4 linked regions of the Arabidopsis thaliana genome follow. The protein of the gene in region 1 purifies or fractionates together with the protein of each later gene. This does not show direct contact. Each region holds a gene or a part of one and is shown in the gene's direction. Other genes may lie near its edges.

Region 1 (3,493 bases):
TGAATTTTAAATGTACACCATAAACCCCGTAAAATTAGTCAAAACAATTAATGTGATTTATGATAATTGTAATTAAATAAAAAAGATATTACTCGATTAGTAATTACTGATTAACTGAATCATTGATCTCATTAAACAATTAAAGAAAGATTACTCGATTAGTTAGCATTTAGTTTTAATTTTTTTAATATACTAAAAATACCAATCGGAAATTCAGTTACCAAAATTAGATTTATTAACATTTACTTTTTGAATTTTAGATGTACACCATAAACCCCGTAAAATTGGTCAAAGATTTATGATACTTGTAATTAAGGAAAGAACCAAATGCAATATATGGTTTCGGTGCAAAACCTTAAAACTGACCAACTTCTCAATTTTTTATTTAAAAACCCTACCAAATTTCTCTCTCGTTTCTCTCCGATGGCCAAGAACAAGACTTTGGTTACTCCATCAACGGTGAAGAAGTCATCTGACGTCGCATCTACGTCAAAGAAACTGTCGGGAGTCGCATCTCCAGCGAAGAAACCGTCGGGTGTCACATCTCCGGTCAAGAAGCCGTTGGAAGCCGTCGCATCAACTTCATCTGAGGAGGAGGAGGAAGATGAGCCTTCCAGCGATTCAGAGTCGGGATCGGAGAGTGAGTCTGACACTGAAGCTGAGCCGATGACTCTTGCTGCTGCTGCTCCTTCTTCTTCGAATGAGAAGAGACAAAGTGAAGGAAAACCAGAGGAGGAACGAGCCAAGACTGAAACAGAGACGGGGAAGAAGCCACTGTTGTTTCAGAGATTGTGGACTGATGAAGACGAGATCGTCTTTCTTCAAGGAATGATCAAATTTGCTAAGGATACAGGTAAGAATGTTTCCGAGGACATGAATGGCTTTTTCGAAAAACTTAAAGATTCGATTAGCTTTGAGGTGAAGACTGATCAGTTCGTTAACAAAATCCGGTCTATGAAGAGAAAGTATATTGAGAACAAGAAAACTACTACAGAGCATGATAAGAAGTGTTACGAATTGGCTGAGATAATTTGGGTAAGTGATGGTGATGCTACTGCTCTTGTGAAGCCAAAGAAGAAGAAGCTTAAGGTTGATGAAGAAAGTGATTGGTTCGAGAGGTCGTTTGTTGATGGTGCGTTTAAAGAATTGGGTCCGGGGGTTGATGAAGAGACATGGAAGAAGAATTGGAGTTTGGTACCGGTGAAGAAGAGGAAGAGGATAGAAGAAAAGGTGAAGTCCATGCAAGCTGATGAGCTCAAAACGACGTGGCAGAAGATTGACGTTGTGCATGAGATGAGATCTTTGATGGCTAAATATGTTTAGTCTTTATCTGTTTAGAGATGCATTTGCCTATGTTTTTCTTTTTGGTTTTGTGTTGGAACCTTTATGGCTTTCTCGTTTATTCATATGTTTTATGTTAAAGATGTTTTTTTGGATAACAAAAATAGGTGGTTTTTTGTTTGCATCTTAGTCTTCTTCCTTTGTTACTACAGACATGAAATCGTTAGATAATTATGATATGATATAAACTAATAATGATTCTAGGAGATAATTCCTAATGGATTTAAGATAAGTACATATCTTCTATATCTACCTTTACACACACGTTAACTTAGAAACAATCTACTTTGTTTTCTTCTGTTTGCCTAGTAAACAAATGGCGTCGATGATGTTTACTGATTGCTCCTCCTCCACAACGTCGCGTCTCATCCATTTATACAACCGCAATGGTGTTTTCCTCCCCCGCCCGAGCGTCAGCCAATTCAGCTTACGGACAACTGCGTCTACTTGGCGCTGCACTCTCTCCATTCGCTCCTCTTCTTCTCCATCTGCGATTGTAATTGATGGAAAGGCTGAGGCCAAAAAGATTAGAGATGATATCAAAATCGAAGTTTCAAGAATGAAGGAATCAATCGGTGTGGTTCCTGGTTTAGCAGTAATCCTTGTTGGAAAAGAACAAGGAATCCGCTACTTACGTGAGGAACAAGAAAATAGCTTGTGAATCCGTCGGAATTAAATCAGTCCAAGTTCGTCTAGCTGAAGATTCATCAGAAGAAGAGGTGTTGAAATATGTATCAGGATTCAATGATGATCCTTCTGTTCACGGAGTCCTTGTTCAGTTGCCTCTACCATCGGTAAACAAAGTCTATCTTCATATTCTTCATCATAACTTAAAATAAACAGTAAATTACAACGGTGTTTTGGGATGTCGTGTATATGCAGCATATGGATGAACAGAACATATTGAATGCGGTTAGTATAGAGAAGGACGTTGATGGATTTCACCCGCTAAATATTGGACGGCTTGCCATGCGTGGTAGAGAACCTTTATTCGTTCCATGTACTCCAAAAGGATGCATCGAGTTGTTGCACAGATACAACATTGAATTCAAAGGCAAAAGAGCAGTTGTTATTGGAAGGAGTAACATTGTTGGTATGCCAGCTGCTCTGTTGCTGCAGGTAATGATGATTCCTTCTTCAATATGCCATTTTTTCTGGTTAGGACAACATTCTTTATCGATGTTTATTTTCTAAATGTAGAAGGAGGATGCAACCGTTAGCATTATCCATTCAAGAACCATGAACCCTGAAGAACTCACAAGACAAGCTGATATCCTAATCTCAGCTGTTGGGAAACCAAACATGGTCAGAGGAAGCTGGATAAAACCGGGTGCAGTCCTCATCGATGTTGGGATTAAACCTGTTGAGGTGAGTGGAATTTTTTGACATATGGTAGTATAATGAATGATCAAATCAAATACAGTATGTGAAAGTAATATGAATTGCAGGATCCAAGTGCTGCCGGTGGAGAGCGGTTGGTTGGAGACATTTGCTATGTGGAGGCTAGCAAAATTGCATCAGCCATCACACCTGTTCCTGGTGATGTAGGACCAATGACCATAGCCATGCTTCTATCCAACACTTTAACATCAGCCAAGAGAATTCACAACTTCCAGTGACTTCAAAGATGATTGCTCGCCTTTTTTTAAATAAACAAATCTTACTTTGGTTTTTTGAAGCCAATGATTTTTGCTTAGCGTTAAGTCAGAAATAATATTATTTCGGTTCTTGTTCTTTGATTTTAGAGGTTACCTTATCCAGATTGTGAGTTCCCTGATTATCTTGCGGCTTTGCTAGATAATTATTTGGATCTTTATAAGTTTGTGTGTGAGCTTTTGTTCATTTTGGGAGTAGAACTACCATGAAGCAACTGTGGTGATTGGCAAAAGCATTTTTGCTTTATCAAATGTATCTTTTAACGTAATGTAAGTCTTGGAAGATAGCTTAAGGATGAAGTCATTACGATTGATGTTGGAAGTCATTTTGGTGTGTCCCATGACTCCTATGTTACAGATTCTGAAACTTTTCTCCACAAAATACCAAAACTTCAGAAATTAATCAGCAACAGGTTGGGCGGAGATCAATCCGGGCTTCAAAATGGTCTACCCCAGCCTCACTCATCTGTCTCCTCGTCCTGAGAATCGAAATCTGT
Region 2 (6,125 bases), on another chromosome or scaffold:
TGTCACATTACATTATACATTACAGTTCCACGTGGTATTTTTTATGATTTATTAAATTTGTATGTGTTAAATAAATTTATACTTCATTCATATAGATAAGAAATGTATACTTTACAGTTTACATGTGTATTTGTTATTAAAAAAAGATAATATAAAAGAATAAGATATGGGAATGTTTACCCTAAAATCATATATAAGAGATTCAATTATCTTTTTATCTCATTTAATTTTGAGTCAGGAAAAAATATATATACAGAGAAGAAACAAAATTATTAAAAATGTAAAATTTATTGGTTAACATTTTGTCTTTACAAAAAACATAGATATGTTAATATAACGAATATAGTAAATGATAGAATAAAGATATTTAGTATGGTTAAGTAAGAAAATTAACATTTTCAATAATTTCGTCTCTTCTTTGCATAGGATTTGTTTGCCAACTCAAAGTATATTAGATAAAAAGATAAGATTGAAAACTAAAGTTGATAAGATATTATATTGTTTCACAAAAATTAGACATTGGATAGATGTTTAAGATTAAATAATCTTGTTAGAAATAAAACTGAAGTCTATGATGTTGCATGTAAGAGCTAATACAGTAAAATAAAATTATAAATTAATAACATGGGGAATAAAATATTTTATTGATTTATATAAGTGTTAATTTTTAGATGTAGTAAAAATATTGAAAATGACTTTTTCACAAAAATTAAAACAAATTCAAAGAAAAACAAATAACATTTTTATCCAATTACGTTATATATTATATTCGTCCAACTTTGAACCGGAAAAGTTTATTAATTTACAATGATTATTAAATTGACAAGTATTAATATATAGATGTTTCACTCTAATAGGTTAAATGGACAACTATATGCGAAAATATTAGGGCGATATTACAATAATCACAATGTAAAGATAGACAAGCACAATGTAAAGCTGATCACGTACAGTTTTGTTTCTTCCTCTTCAATGTTAATCTCTCCATTCAGTTAGAGTTAATTTCTAGTCTGATACATAACAAAACTACAAAGTTTCTCGAGTTTTTTTGTTATTTGATAACTCTCTACACGATCTAATTTCAATATTACATGTCGGAAAACTTCCGGAAAGTACCACACAAATGTTTGTAAGATTGAGTAAAATTGAGTAAAGAGAGCTTTAATCTCCCATATTTGCAAGTCGATATAAATTTGGTATCACGGCGTGTAAGAGATCTTGACATGCTAACCTTACGCAGATGTGCATTGTTGCAGTGCCATATTGTCATTATTGGTAATATATATGCCTAAGTAAAGTTCATATTGATAAAAATTTTATTCAAACACTATTGCATCTGCTTGTCAATCGCATAATAACATTATTAATTGAAAATGTAGTTTTCACTATTATACAATATCCGTTCTTATTTCGTTTAAACCGGCCGAGCCCATAGTATTGCAAACTATCACACCATATGGGCTTTAACTTTACGTTGGTAAAACGTAAAAAGAAAATAGCGATCAAGTCTCAAGAAGGGTACTTTTAGAATTAATAGCAACTTTAAGGCGTAAATAGAAGTAATACAAATAGTTGGGGTTATTATGTAAATATGAAGAAGATTAAGATCCAGAAGATGGAAATGAAAAACACGGCACGCATTTCAAAGCCCAAAACGGGCGGGGGCAAACGTCACGCCTAATCTTATCTTCTTCTATCACACTCTCAGCTTATCTATGACTATGACTCTCATCATCAATTATTTCACACTATTAACAATCACCAAACCAGTGTGAACATTTTAATTCATAATTAGAGTAAGGTCATTAGGCTAAAAACTGTTTGATTTGGATTTTACAACTATAGGATAAGAACTTGTATCGCTGTCACAGATGATATTTTTTGGTCGTTTAAGCAAAGAAATATTACGAAAAAGAGATATTTTTTATTCTTACTTATTTTGGGATTATCATTTACCCGGAACGGGCAAAGCGGTGAGTCATCTTACCTTATAAATGATCACAAACCCGAGGACTGTGAGTTTTCGTGTAGAACAAATCCTTCTCTGAGAAAAAACAACAGATCCGAATTTTATCTTTAATCAGCCGGAAAAAATGGAGAAAGCGATCGAGAGACAACGCGTTCTTCTTGAGCATCTCCGACCTTCTTCTTCTTCTTCGCACAATTACGAGGCTTCTCTATCTGTAAGCATTCTATCACCACACACTCTCTCTCTCTCGATCTATCGCGATCTTTTGGTTGTCTTCTCTTGTGTTTGCAGTCTGGGGATTATGGATCGTTGTTGATCTGGATTCATTATATGGAATTTTCGATTTTGATTTTGATGCTGAATTATAATTTGATTCGAGGCGTGCCTGTGAGCTGAAAATTTTAAGTTTCAGCTCGATTGAGATCAAATTCAAGACTTGGATTTTGTTTTTGTATTTCGTTCACTGGATTGAGATAGATATCTTTTTTTTTTTTGTTGTTGTTTGATTTTTGTTCGATTGGGTTGAATTATCCGTGCTCTGCATGTACTGATGATTTCTTAAAAGTCAAAGCTTGATTTCAATTACTACGTGTGATCTCTTTAACGTGTTCTTTCCAAATTCCCAGGCTTCTGCTTGCTTGGCTGGGGACAGTGCTGCATATCAGAGGACCTCTCTCTATGGAGATGATGTTGTCATTGTCGCGTAAGTCCCATCTCTTATGCTTTTACTCTTTTGGTATTTGGTTTTTCAGCAACGTATGAAGATTTCTCGTCTCTTTCTGATAGACTTACACTTATTGATCCATTGCAGGGCACATAGGACTCCACTATGCAAGTCCAAACGTGGCAATTTCAAGGATACATATCCCGATGATTTGCTCGCACCTGTTTTGAGGGTCTGTCGCTATCTTTTCTATTCTGTTGTTGGTTTTTATTTCCTTTCTACGTCTATTTATAGATAGTTCTTCCTTGACATAGGCATTGATAGAGAAGACGAATCTAAACCCAAGTGAAGTAGGTGACATTGTTGTGGGTACTGTTTTGGCACCTGGATCTCAGAGAGCCAGTGAATGCAGGATGGCTGCGTTCTATGCTGGTTTCCCTGGTATGTTTCTTCTATGTACAGTACAATACAATGGTGAAAAGTCTTTGTTTTTATTTCCTGTATGCTCATCCTGTTATGTTCATTTGCAGAAACCGTGGCTGTCAGAACTGTGAATAGACAGTGCTCATCTGGGCTTCAGGCTGTTGCTGATGTAGCCGCTGCCATTAAAGCGGGATTTTATGACATTGGTTAGTGAATAACCGTCTTTAACTACGCCACATTTTTTCATAGAGAACCGAGCTGACGATATGATGGATGCAGGTATCGGGGCTGGTTTGGAGTCCATGACTACCAATCCAATGGCATGGGAAGGGTCAGTCAACCCAGCGGTACTGATTCTCTCTTATCTGGAGTCTTACTTGGCTCTGTTATTTTAATACGTACTATAATACGGACTATGTTATTTCAGGTGAAGAAGTTTGCACAAGCGCAGAATTGTCTTCTTCCTATGGGTGTTACGTCAGAAAATGTAGCACAACGCTTTGGTGTCTCAAGGCAGGAGCAAGATCAAGCTGCTGTAAGGGAACTGAACTTTTTCAGTATGGTTGTATTTTAAATAACCTATAACTTTGATCGCTATGCTAAGCTATGGAGTCATATTGCTAGGTTGACTCGCACAGAAAGGCAGCTGCTGCTACTGCTGCTGGTAAATTCAAGGATGAGATCATTCCTGTTAAGACCAAGGTATTTTTCAGATCCTTCATACAATAACTGTAACATTTAAGACTTCTCTTGGTGGATTAGTTACTGAACTTCATTCATGTTCTAGTATTAGTCAATAACGTGTGTTTTAAATTTCAGCTTGTTGACCCGAAGACTGGTGATGAGAAACCCATTACAGTTTCTGTTGATGATGGTATCCGACCAACCACAACTCTTGCTTCTCTTGGGAAGCTGAAGCCAGTGTTTAAGAAGGATGGCACCACTACTGCTGGTACTTTTCCCGAATCAATTGTTTCATTATGGAAACCACAGTTCTTATTATCACAATTTTAAATCCATTGCTTCATTTGTTCTGTCGCAAACAGGAAATTCCAGCCAAGTAAGTGATGGTGCAGGAGCGGTTCTCCTAATGAAGAGAAGTGTTGCAATGCAAAAAGGACTTCCCGTTCTTGGTGTATTCAGGTGGGTAATAATTACTTACAAAGCTACGACTGTGGAAGTCTGAAAACCGAAAAAACTGCAGAGGCTTGTGATTTCCATTTACACAGATATGCTAGTATACGTGGAAAATACATTGTTCTTTCTGTATTTGGCTTTTTCTAAGTAGCACACTATTGGACATATTGCAGGACATTTGCTGCAGTTGGTGTTGACCCTGCAATCATGGGTATCGGTCCAGCAGTTGCCATTCCTGCTGCAGTTAAGGCGGCTGGTTTAGAACTTGATGACATCGACTTGTTTGAGATCAATGAGGTATATAGCAAACAATTTCATGATCTTCTTATCACATATCTCTTCCCGCACATTCTGATGATGACCATCTGTTTGAATCCTTGTGTGTTCAGGCATTTGCATCTCAGTTTGTTTATTGCCGTAACAAATTGGGACTTGACCCAGAGAAAATCAATGTCAACGGAGGTGCAATGGCCATAGGCCATCCTTTGGGCGCTACAGGTATATCTGTTAAGAACAGGACTAAAACTGTTAAGCTTGTTCCAATTTACCAAACCATAGAGACTTGAATTAATGAGAATCTCTCAACTCTCAACCAAACCTTAAGAAATCCACAGCCGAGATATATCTTTATAAACTCTGTCCTCACTAATGGTTCTTTAACCAACTTACAAGAGCTCTATCTTGCCGCAGTCCGTCCTTTTCAAAGCATATCAATGTCTACATTGTGTCTATATAATTATAAAACGCTCATGAACAGTTGCTAATACTTGTTAAAACTCTCACAGGAGCGCGTTGTGTTGCTACATTGTTGCACGAGATGAAACGCCGTGGTAAAGACTGCCGTTTTGGAGTAGTGTCAATGTGCATTGGTATGCTTCTCACTCGAATAATTCATTGTGAATTTGGTGTCTGAAATATGTGTCTGAGGGATGGTTTTACTGATTTGGTAAACTCTGGCAGGGACGGGGATGGGTGCAGCAGCTGTGTTTGAGAGAGGAGATGGAGTTGATGAGCTTCGCAACGCAAGGAAAGTTGAAGCGCAAGGTCTTTTGTCCAAGGACGCTCGCTAGAGAGGACCATGCACCAAAACCGTTTTTCACCTCACCTCTCTCTTTTCTGGTCTTCTTGTCACTTTCTTCAGATATTATTATAGTTTCGAATAAAGCACACAACCAATGTTTGCCTGAGTCTTGTGTTGTTCTTGACCAGGTCATGTGTTTAGTATTTTTTTTAAGTGAAGGGGGATAATCTTTAAATCTTTTATATGTAAGAATATTGTTCTTCTCGAATTTCATCAGTTGTTGCTTCTAGAAATTTTAGATTTTTTGGGTGGCAGCCATTTCTATATTTCGATGGATAAGTCAAACGTTCATAAAGTCAAGGGTTCTGCCTTTTGTTTGTGTTTCATGATTTTACCTTGAATTTCATTAACTAAAACAGTGTTAATAGTAACAGTTGGGGTGGTGGCGCAGTTGGCTAGCGCGTAGGTCTCATAGCTACTGAGTGATCCTGAGGTCGAGAGTTCGAGCCTCTCTCACCCCATAATTTTATTTTCTCATAGCTATTTATATAACGTTCCTTCTAGTATTTTTTTTTCTTTTCGTTATAGTATCTTGTCTTTGATACCGGAGACGTTATAACGGCAGTATAAGACGTTATAATCATGTTCCAATGCATCCCCTCAGTTTTGTGTTAAAAACGAGCCATCAATGTTATCATATATGGAAATCATTATTGAGGCTTTGACCAATTAATTATGCGAATTGACCGACTTTGATCACTATACAGAGCAAAACAAATCCACTGAATCATTTATTTGTGTAGGTTCATCTTTTTTGGGCACCGTATTCATTTCTTATTCCATGAATTTGACGGAGTAATTTTGATTTTCTTTTTCGAGTAAGAATCTGGTCAAATATTCGATGAACCTCT
Region 3 (6,270 bases), on another chromosome or scaffold:
CACTTGTGTATTCTTTTGTTTTCTCTTTATACTTAACAGGATGAGTGCAGTGGCTTATCTAGCTAGCTATTTGTCTCGTGGAAAGTTTTTGCCTGCTTCTTTTGTGGCTAGCATGTTGAAAAGGTACGTATTGCTAAAAAATGGAAAATGTAATTGTTTGATCTGATTTAAGTCTCGCTTTGTTGTAACATAGTTTCTCTTTTGCTGAAATCCTAGATTGGTGGACGAGTGTGCGGAATATTGCGGAACATGCAATGATGATGTGAAGCCAGAAGCACATCAAGTGTTCTATTCTGGATGTCAGGTATAGTCCAAGTTTAAGACCATCTTATGGCTTTTGATTCCTTAAGAACTCTTCTGTGAAATCATTGACGTCTCTAGTTATCAATCATTGTTAATGTTCACACCCTTACCAGAAGCTTATTGGCGTTTGGGATCATATGCTATTATGTCATGTATCGCTTAAAGTTGTTACTTTTCTATGACTGTAGGCAATCTTGTATGTGCTATGCTTCCGAATGAGATCCATAGTGGAGATTCCTCGCTTTCAATCGCAGTTTAGATCATTGGAGTCAATTTTATCTCACAAACTAAACCCACTACTGGTGGGTGACTTACACTAATCATTTTCTTCTCATAGCTCAACTGTTATTTTAAGTAGTCTTCACTCCAAGTATCAAATGCATTATGCTTGCACCATTCATTTTGTGTGAACAGGTGTGTCTTCCATCTGTAGTTTCCGAGTTCCTTAAACAAGCCAAAGCTGGTGGTCTGTTCATTGTCTCAGAATCCTTCATTTTCGATGACCTACACGAGTCTGAGCTCTCTCGTGCTTTTGGTGGCTTTGAAAGGCTTGACACATTCTTCCCGTTTGACCCGTGCTTGTTGAAAATGTCTAGCAGGTTTGCTATCTTTACTCTTGATTATTTTTTCTCTTCCAAAGTAAGGACAAATCAATGTGAGAATCTTACACAAGGTTCTTGACTCACTGGATGAATTTACCCGACCTGGGCATATTTGATACAAATTCTACTGCATACATCTTAATTACAGTCTTGAAATGACATTGAAAATTATTTTAATATGATAAAACAAGTGATGAATCAAAGTATTTGCATTGGATAGGCTTGAACTCTCTTTCTCACACGTGTTTTCTTGTCAATTCTTGAAGCTACATCTCCCCGAACTTCAACTTCTGGTCAATGGTGAAAACGACTTATGGAGAAGATGGTGACGAAGAGCTTTGTGATGAGGTCATAGTGAATGGAGATGCAGACAGTGCGGAGGAACCTGACGATGACGTTGAACTTGATAGTGAGATGAACACGATGTCTACAACTCCGAAACACTCTTTCATGCGAGAAACAGAGAGGCTCTTGAAGATGCCTTCAAGAATCAGACCATCCACTAGTCCTCCTGAATCCTTCTTAATCTAATAGTCATAGAGAGAGGGAATGCAATTTTGCAATGTAGGTTTCTTATTACAATCTCTTAGCTAGTGCGTAAACTCTAAAAAAAAGAAGTTGACATGAGTTTTGTGCGAGTCTGTGGTATTATCTGATCGCATGTGGTTTTGTAGCAAAATTTTGAAGAACATCTATGAAGTAAAATTTAGTCAGTTGGTTTATGATTACCTAATTTGAGTTTCGGTTTAATTTGGTTAAGTTGAAATGCTGAATGATTGATTTCTCGGTTTAGTGTTCAATATTGGGTTTACTTTGTCCACAAAATTGGTTAAAAATAGCTCTTTGTATTTTGGTAAATGTCCCGCAAATGGTTAAAAGTAAACCGGGAATTGACCCTCCGATTTAAACCGGTCCGTAAACCAGCTGAGCAATCTCTCTTTAACCTCGGCGTCGGCGTCTTGTAGCTTCTTCTGCTAGGCTTTGTTAATCAGCAAAAACCCTAGAATATCTTAGAGCTTCGCTTCACTTTCAAGCTCGAGACTTTGAGAAAGATGCCTCCGAAAGCCAAAGCTAAAGATGCAGGTCCCGTAGAGAGGCCTATTCTTGGCCGTTTCTCTTCTCACCTCAAGATCGGAATTGTAATTTTTCTCTTCATCTCTCTTTTAGAATCCAAGTTGATTAATTTCGAATGGTGAATGGTAGATTTGCTCATCGCAATACTTTCCTCGATAAAAGTTTTTTTTTTTTTTCTTCTTCTGAGTTTTGCCGGGAGAGATCTATTAACTCATCAGTGATGCATGATGATATTGTTTGTTTCGTTGTGTTTGTCACTGTACTCTTTTAGATGTTTAATCCATATTTAAGAAACTGCTTCTTTGATACAGTGATTAAGGTTGATTGTTCATGGTTGATATGATGATATGGAGAAGTATTGATGTTATTCACTATGGGAATTGTTTGTGGCATCGCAGGTTGGGTTACCAAATGTTGGAAAATCTACTCTTTTCAACACTCTTACAAAGCTTTCAATTCCAGCTGAGAATTTCCCCTTTTGTACCATTGAGCCTAATGAGGCACGTGTGAATATCCCCGATGAGAGGTTCGATTGGCTTTGCCAAACTTACAAGCCTAAGAGTGAGGTAAGTTTGTAACTTTATTTCATGACTTGCTGTTAAGGAAGAGATTACTACTATCTGAATTACTTTATGAATGGGCTGACTTCTGTCTGTTTTGATGCCTCAGATTCCAGCTTTCTTGGAAATTCATGACATTGCTGGGCTTGTTAGAGGAGCTCATGAAGGACAGGGTCTTGGAAACAACTTCTTGTCCCATATTCGTGCAGTTGATGGAATTTTCCATGTTTTACGTATGGTTTTTCCCTCTCGCTTTTTCTCCTAGTGCCAGCTTTGTTTTAGTGTGATGCGTGATTTGATGAATAATTTAGACTGTACTGCTACTTGTGCTGTCTTGAATTTCTACTTGAGCAGGCTTTTCAATGAGAGACAGGTTAAAAACCTTTATATATTTTTCTTCCCATTTGATACCTATAGGGCCATTGCGATAGTTAGTTTATGTTTTCCTCTCCAAGCATATCTGTTCTTGAACAACGGGGATGTTTCTTTAATAGTTGCTGATAGTAAGATATCTTGCCAGTTATATAGTGGTTAGTGACTTTTCGATTGAACATATGCAGGTGCTTTTGAAGATGCTGATATTATCCATGTCGACGATATCGTGGATCCTGTTAGAGATTTGGAGACCATTACTGAAGAGTTGCGGCTAAAGGTGAATCAAATCTCTAAACAGATATTTGACTGCTATATCTCCAAACTCGTGAAATCCTTTCTGTGTATATTAATACAGTAGTCTGTTTTTTGTATTAGTTGGATCTTCATTTCATCCATTGTTGTTTTGGTTTCAAACTGAATTCTTTGGTGCAACTTTAGGATATTGAATTTGTTGGAAAGAAGATTGATGATGTCGAGAAGAGCATGAAGAGGAGCAATGACAAGCAGCTGAAAATAGAACTTGAGCTCTTGCAAAAGGTATGCTATAATTTGACAACCATGCAGTCTTGTTCTGCAAATGTTATTGCTCATTAATTATTAATTGGCCGAAAAAATGACTGTACCTCTCTGGTTTAGGTAAAAGCTTGGCTAGAAGATGGTAAGGATGTCCGTTTTGGGGACTGGAAAACAGCTGATATCGAGATTTTGAACACTTTCCAATTGCTTTCTGCAAAGCCCGTTGTTTACTTGGTGAGTAGTCTTGAATGTTCATCTCTTTCTGTTACCATTGTTTCTATCAAGATAAATGCATTTGCTTCTTTCATATCTATAGTCGACAATTTTGTTCCCTCAATTTTTTTCGGGTCAGTTTGCAAAATGTAGGTCATACTGTCTATTTTTGTGACACTATTTGCCCCCAAATTTAACCATAGTGTGTTCCTTAGCTATTTCTGATCTCTATGCTTTCATGTTTGTTTCAACTATGTGTTTCATCTCAGTGTAAGAACTATTAAGGCATCTTGGTTGGACTTTTTGTGATCACTGGTTACTCTGAAATTTAAATTACAGATTAACCTGAATGAGAGAGACTATCAGAGGAAGAAAAACAAGTTCTTGCCAAAGATTCATGCCTGGTACTAATATATATCCTTTCACAAACTATGTTGAATAATAAGTAAAACATTTTGCCCCTTGGTTGTTGCAAAAGTTTCTAATATGGCTACGTGCTTACACATTTACTTACCTTATTATACTTCTCCTAAACTAAAAATATCTGTTTCATCATTATGTAGGGTTCAAGAACACGGTGGTGATACTATGATTCCTTTCAGTGGTGTGTTTGAAAGGAGTCTCGCTGATATGGCCCCAGATGAAGCAGCAAAGTATTGTGAGGAGAACAAACTGCAAAGGTTAGGAATAAAAGAACAGCACCTTGCGAATGAATAGTTGCTCCTGAAGATGATTTTTCTTTATGAATCTGTTAAATTGAATCTTATGGCCATTGCTGCTTTGACAGTGCTCTTCCGAGGATCATCAAAACTGGATTTTCAGCAATTAACCTCATATACTTCTTTACAGCAGGGCCTGATGAGGTATTAACAGTCCCACTTTACTTGGCTTCACTACACGCTTTAGTCTCTAGTTCTCTGTGAAATTCTTCTAAGCATAATTGTTCTGTAATGAGCTATTTGGTAGTGCATGATCAGTGTTATGTGTCAAGTAGTGCATTGTTACTGGAATTTGATGGTTTATAAAATACATCCATCAATGATACTTTGATTTGCAGGTGAAGTGCTGGCAAATAAGACGGCAGTCAAAGGCTCCTCAAGCTGCAGGGGCCATTCATACTGATTTTGAGAGAGGATTTATTTGTGCTGAGGTACCATTTTCTCATTTCTCTTGAATCTTGGTCAATTCACTAGTTTATTCCTACCTAAAATTTACATGCGTAAAGCCTTTCCCCTCCAGATTTTGATGATTTGTTCTGTTATAGAGTTTATATAATCTTTCTTATGTTTTCACTGACAAAAACAAATGCTTGCTTGCATATTCTTATATTCATCTTGGTGTTGATTTCCTAGTATCGATGCAGGCCTGTAGATATCAAAGCAGAATCCTAATGCAAACCATATCTAATCAAATATTTTTCTGTTTTGAAATTCAATGTGATTTATTCCAATGTTGTTGTTGATGTCACAGGTCATGAAATTCGAGGATCTCAAGGAACTTGGCAATGAACCTGCAGTCAAGGTATTTGTCTATAACTTCTTTTCCTTCTACAATCTCTTAAGGTCTCGGTGGAGTAAGTAGCCTCTAAAAACAGACATGAAAATGTTAAGGAAGCTCTCCACTGTGCAAGATATCCTCGTTGAAGAGGCATGATTATATTTATAATGTTCATGGCGATGACACTTGGTCTAATTTATAATCCCTTCAACTAATGCAGGCCGCAGGAAAATACAGACAGGAGGGTAAAACATATGTTGTTCAGGATGGAGATATCATTTTCTTCAAGTTCAATGTTTCCGGTGGTGGGAAGAAATGAGATCCATCCGTCTGTCCACCTATCCGCGGTGTCCTCTCTGGATCTTGAAGCTCTATCCATTTCCGAGAAAGGAACCAAGCTGTATTTTCCGTTTTTGAGTGGCTTTACCAAACAAGTATTTGTAACTCTTTACATTTTGCAGTTAGCTAAGACATGTCTTTGCCTTTAGACAGAGCATTAAGCCTGCTGTATCGTTTAGAACTCTTTCAATAAGTTTTTCTCTACTATTTGGAAAGAACCTTGAGTAATTGTGCGTGAGAATGAGTTGAAGAAACCCAGCAAACAACTTCTGGTGCACTTATTAGCGAAGGAAACAAATGGAAAGAATGATTAAACGAATACCTTAAGGAAATTATATTTGCAGTGTATATTACAAGCTCTATTACAAAAGAGCTTCTGGATAGATCACAATCAATTATAACAAAAGAACAAAAGAATTATTTTGGGACTGGCCAATCCAATTGCTTCCTCTAAGCCGAATTGTGAAGAGCAGATCCTGTTTGGCTCTGCTCAGTTTCTGAGGAATCTTGATTGGAACAAGCTGGAAGAGTAAAGCTCTCTGGTGCTTCTTCTACCGCTTGGCTGCTCGAAAACGAGTTTTCTCCATTCTGTTTGCGAAGCCAAGCTTCATGAATCTGCAAAACATACTCCAAGCTCCATAACACTTCTCCCATCATTGGCCTGTTCTTCCCTTCATCCGCTAAGCACTTCTCTGCTATCTCCCCATACTTCTCCAACGATTCAGGACTGTAGTTTCCCCTCAGATTTGAGTCGATGATGGACTCGAGGTTTCTCTGTTTTTGCCAGCTTA
Region 4 (4,136 bases), on another chromosome or scaffold:
TCCACCGACTACTATATGATTTGTGCGTTGCGTGATTACTGGTTGTTACTAGATTGTAATTCATTTTGTTTGTATTGTGCATTCAAATTTATCTTTTTGGTAAGAACACTGATTTTGTAACGTGTTTTCCGTGGATGACTAGACCATCATTTGGAAATATAAAGTAATGATGCCGACAAAAAAGGCAGTGTTTTATAAAATATAAGCCATATCATAATATCTTTGGACCGATCAATGAAAGAAATCGTCCATAAAAATGGATTAGTTTAATTCCAGTTTAGATTATTGGTATTCTCAAAAACTAATTAACGTATAGTTTTCTAGTTCTTTATTTGATACCAAGATTTGTGTAACTTAATATTTTCAAACGAGTTTACAAACACAACTAGACCGAGAAATAGATATATGATGTATTCATTAAAAAAGAAAAAATAGCTCTTGAGATTGAGAACTTGGGATCTTACTATCTTAGAAAAGTCACCACATGCCGCCATCATTTGTCCACTACGATTCAGACAGAAGATCCGATCTGTTTATATATATATATATAAAAGTAAAGACATTACTTTATGCCTTATGGTAACCCCCGATTACTATAACATTAAACTACTAATTAATTTGACAAAAGAAGTTGGACTGACTGCTTAATAAATGAATGTTAGTGACATACGTATATATTTTCGATAACGTGTATGGTATTTAAGGGCAGGGGGATTTGTACATTTGGAGTTTTATATGCTTAATATATCAAATGTTGTATAGATCCAGATCTTTGGTTTAAACCTCATTAGTTTCGATGTCAAATCAATTACAATATATATAGAAACTTTGCAATTACAATATTTAGTACCAAAAATCGGTGGAATTATGTACATATGAATATGATATAAATCACTACATTAATTTGTAATTGAGATGTATCTGTATATTTATTGAAATGATACTATGTTTAAAGGGTTACCGATTCGTTAACGGGTTCTTTTGCTAAGTTAGCTCTTTGATCTCATAAGATTCGGATGCTTAATATAATATACGCATTTATAGTCGATAATTGTGAATTGTAAATTCAAAACAGTAACGTGTTTTAAGTGTTTTTTTCTTTTTCTTCGAACTTTTTAATTTTCACTATTAAAAAATAGTATGAGTAGTAGTTGACCAGAAAAAGGGTGGTAAAAAGAAAAAAAAGAGATTCTTTAATTAAAATTGCAACGAATAATACATATTTTAAATTCAGACACCCAATGAAGTGGAATCTCCTTTGTGTTTAACTAATAATTTCTCACGCCACCGCTTTCACAGATCTCTGTCTAAAATTCAGACAACAATAAACTATTTTAAACACACAAAACCACTACGAAACACAATAATTCATGTTTAGGGTGATCTGTCACATATTATATTCATATATTGAAATAATTTTTTGTTATTCCTACTAACACATTTTTTTCAATGACATTTCCACGAAATAAAATTTATAAAGTCTTCTTATATTTACTGAATAAAAGTTCTACATTATGCTATTAAAAGTGTATAAAGTAACAACAAATTTATACATAATAACAAGTTTTCTTATAAAAATATTAATAGCATTTTTTTTTATCCATAGAACTATTTTTATCATATAATTTTAAAAACGGGATAACTTGTTTATTTTATGTTAAATTTAAGTTAACTAGTTGTATAAGTACTAATGAAAACATTTTCTTAAATTCAATAACAAAAATTTATCACTACTCCAATTATCTACACATGTTTTGCTTAATTTTTGGTAATGTCACCTAAATTTAACAATTTCCTAAAATATTCATGAAAAAAAACTCATGGGTCACAAATCTCAAATAAGAAACGATGGGTGGTCAAAAGAAAAAAACTAAAAAGATTATTGCTTCCCCGAGAAATTGGGATAAAAAGAAGCAACACCGATCACAACGTCTCCCTATACCATCTCCTTCAGATCCACACACTCTCTCTTATATCTCTCCGGCGAAAACTTTCCGATCACCGACAAAAAAAAAAAATGGTTGCAGACGCAAACGGTTCATCATCAAGCTCATTTAACTTCCTAATCTACGGTAAAACCGGATGGATCGGTGGTTTACTCGGTAAACTCTGCGAAGCTCAAGGAATCACTTACACTTACGGCTCCGGTCGTCTTCAAGATCGTCAATCGATCGTCGCCGACATCGAATCCGTGAAACCTAGCCACGTGTTCAACGCTGCTGGAGTCACCGGTCGTCCTAATGTTGATTGGTGCGAATCTCACAAAGTTGAGACGATTCGTACTAATGTCGCCGGAACCCTAACTCTCGCTGACATTTGCAGAGAGAAAGGACTTGTTCTGATCAATTACGCTACGGGTTGTATATTTGAGTATGATTCGGGTCATCCTCTCGGGTCGGGTATTGGATTCAAGGAGGAGGATACTCCTAATTTCACCGGATCTTTCTACTCTAAAACCAAAGCTATGGTGAGTAACTTTTTACATTTTCAATCCTTTTATTTATGAATAACTTCAGATTTGATCTGTATCTTTAGTTTCTTCTTTGAGTAAACCCCAAAATCTAAGATTTTTTAGTAAATTAAGTTCTGATTTGTGTGAATTGTTGAGGTTTTGACTTTTGAATGTAAGATTAGCTCTCAAATTGTTTCAGATGATTGTAGATTAGACTTGTGAGAGCTTCGTTAATTTACATTTTGACCCCTTTAGTTACTTAGGACATTATTCAGATTTGACCTGTTGCTAATTTGGTTTCAATACTTGTGATTGCTTAGGTCTTAGATGTTAAATTAGCAATAAAAATGTTCCAGATGAAATACTTTGACCAGAACTTATTGATTCATATAATCATTATCATGATAAGCTCGTGTATTGACTGTTGGAATCTGGTTTTGATCTTGGTGAATCATTCAGGTGGAGGAGCTGCTCAAGAACTATGAAAATGTATGCACGCTAAGAGTGCGAATGCCGATTTCATCGGATCTAACAAACCCGAGAAACTTCATCACGAAGATTGCTCGGTATGAGAAAGTTGTGGACATCCCAAACTCGATGACAATCCTCGATGAGCTTCTCCCGATATCAATCGAAATGGCGAAGAGGAACTTAACCGGGATCTACAATTTCACTAACCCGGGTGTTGTGAGCCACAACGAGATCTTGGAGATGTACAGAGACTACATTGACCCGAGTTTTACTTGGAAGAACTTCACATTGGAGGAACAAGCTAAAGTGATTGTGGCGCCAAGGAGTAACAATGAGCTTGATGCAACTAAGTTGAAGACTGAGTTCCCTGAGTTGATGTCTATCAAAGAGTCTCTGATCAAGTTCGTGTTTGAGCCCAACAAGAAGACTGAAGTTAAAGCTTGAAATGTGGTTTTGTAAGGTAAACGGTTCTTAACCCCAAAAAAACAAATCAAATGAAAGACAAAAAAAGTTTGGGTTTTTAAAAGAAGTATCTTTTTTTTTTTTGGGTTTATGGGCTGAAAAAATTGTTGTGTTTTTTGTATTTTATTTTTTTGTTTTTCTTTTTCCCAATGTTGTTGTATTGTTAAAATAAACTTTTGTTTCATTACAAATAAGAAATGTACTATTTTGCATTATTTACTCTTGTTAATCAAACTATCTTTCATCCAGAGGATCAGAAAGATCTTAGCCTTGGCCTAAAATATTACATTTGAAATCTGGATCGGAACGTAAATATGATAAACAAATGAAACATTGCCAGAGTTTCCAGCATATGCTGCATTGTTCAGCTAGCGTTTTTGGTAAACAGATGAATGTCACTACTCACTTCCTCAAACTTCAGTTTCCATTGGTCCCGGATCCAGTTTGAAACACCAAAATTGACGATCATTCCATTATTAAGATCAATTGATTTAGTTGGAATCTCCTTGAAATACTACTTTTCTTTGGATTTTGCAACACACTTTGCATCGTTATTGTAAGAGTGATGAAATTCACCTTTCAAAGCCGAATAACAGAGTATGTGTTTGATATGATCATGCATGAATGTGACTACACCATGTCATTTTTTAATACTTAAAATCACAATTTGACATAATCTATTCAAAAACTTCTTTTAAACATTCTCAGTCTCAAAATATGAGACAAAAGAAAAAAGAAAAAACTCGACCCA

The links.
Region 2: the proteins of AT4G00600 (region 1) and PKT3 fractionate together in Arabidopsis thaliana (co-fractionation; one large-scale study listed by BioGRID). This does not show direct contact.
Region 3: the proteins of AT4G00600 (region 1) and AT1G30580 fractionate together in Arabidopsis thaliana (co-fractionation; one large-scale study listed by BioGRID). This does not show direct contact.
Region 4: the proteins of AT4G00600 (region 1) and NRS/ER fractionate together in Arabidopsis thaliana (co-fractionation; one large-scale study listed by BioGRID). This does not show direct contact.

The regions. Positions count from the first base shown.
Region 1 is NC_003075.7:254,787-258,279, reverse strand, and holds AT4G00600 (Amino acid dehydrogenase family protein), read left to right. Parts: upstream 1-1,669; coding exon 1,670-1,928; intron 1,929-2,037; coding exon 2,038-2,135; intron 2,136-2,223; coding exon 2,224-2,460; intron 2,461-2,541; coding exon 2,542-2,709; intron 2,710-2,789; coding exon 2,790-2,960; downstream 2,961-3,493. Other genes in the region: AT4G00610 (DNA-binding storekeeper protein-related transcriptional regulator), read left to right, coding at 337-1,323; AT4G00590 (N-terminal nucleophile aminohydrolases (Ntn hydrolases) superfamily protein), read right to left, coding at 3,400-3,489. UniProt on the Arabidopsis thaliana protein: Catalyzes the oxidation of 5,10-methylenetetrahydrofolate to 5,10-methenyltetrahydrofolate and then the hydrolysis of 5,10-methenyltetrahydrofolate to 10-formyltetrahydrofolate.
Region 2 is NC_003071.7:14,046,952-14,053,076, reverse strand, and holds PKT3 (peroxisomal 3-ketoacyl-CoA thiolase 3), read left to right. Parts: upstream 1-1,676; 5' UTR 1,677-2,093; coding exon 2,094-2,183; intron 2,184-2,595; coding exon 2,596-2,672; intron 2,673-2,780; coding exon 2,781-2,865; intron 2,866-2,947; coding exon 2,948-3,074; intron 3,075-3,163; coding exon 3,164-3,262; intron 3,263-3,335; coding exon 3,336-3,403; intron 3,404-3,483; coding exon 3,484-3,591; intron 3,592-3,680; coding exon 3,681-3,758; intron 3,759-3,875; coding exon 3,876-4,008; intron 4,009-4,102; coding exon 4,103-4,199; intron 4,200-4,366; coding exon 4,367-4,490; intron 4,491-4,582; coding exon 4,583-4,691; intron 4,692-4,978; coding exon 4,979-5,062; intron 5,063-5,153; coding exon 5,154-5,263; 3' UTR 5,264-5,599; downstream 5,600-6,125. UniProt on the Arabidopsis thaliana protein: Involved in long chain fatty-acid beta-oxidation prior to gluconeogenesis during germination and subsequent seedling growth. Confers sensitivity to 2,4-dichlorophenoxybutiric acid (2,4-DB).
Region 3 is NC_003070.9:10,831,142-10,837,411, reverse strand, and holds AT1G30580 (GTP binding protein), read left to right. Parts: upstream 1-1,776; 5' UTR 1,777-1,957; coding exon 1,958-2,044; intron 2,045-2,377; coding exon 2,378-2,545; intron 2,546-2,648; coding exon 2,649-2,772; intron 2,773-3,099; coding exon 3,100-3,191; intron 3,192-3,352; coding exon 3,353-3,451; intron 3,452-3,550; coding exon 3,551-3,664; intron 3,665-3,982; coding exon 3,983-4,047; intron 4,048-4,206; coding exon 4,207-4,323; intron 4,324-4,430; coding exon 4,431-4,506; intron 4,507-4,700; coding exon 4,701-4,793; intron 4,794-5,113; coding exon 5,114-5,164; intron 5,165-5,360; coding exon 5,361-5,459; 3' UTR 5,460-5,739; downstream 5,740-6,270. Other genes in the region: AT1G30590 (RNA polymerase I specific transcription initiation factor RRN3 protein), read left to right, coding at 40-123, 217-304, 492-605, 718-902, 1,172-1,436; HERK2 (hercules receptor kinase 2), read right to left, coding at 5,930-6,270. UniProt on the Arabidopsis thaliana protein: Hydrolyzes ATP, and can also hydrolyze GTP with lower efficiency. Has lower affinity for GTP. Exhibits GTPase activity.
Region 4 is NC_003070.9:23,340,493-23,344,628, forward strand, and holds NRS/ER (nucleotide-rhamnose synthase/epimerase-reductase), read left to right. Parts: upstream 1-1,718; 5' UTR 1,719-2,017; coding exon 2,018-2,467; intron 2,468-2,911; coding exon 2,912-3,367; 3' UTR 3,368-3,628; downstream 3,629-4,136. UniProt on the Arabidopsis thaliana protein: Bifunctional enzyme involved in dTDP-beta-L-rhamnose biosynthesis. Catalyzes the epimerization of the C3' and C5'positions of dTDP-6-deoxy-4-keto-alpha-D-glucose to form dTDP-4-keto-beta-L-rhamnose and its reduction to yield dTDP-beta-L-rhamnose.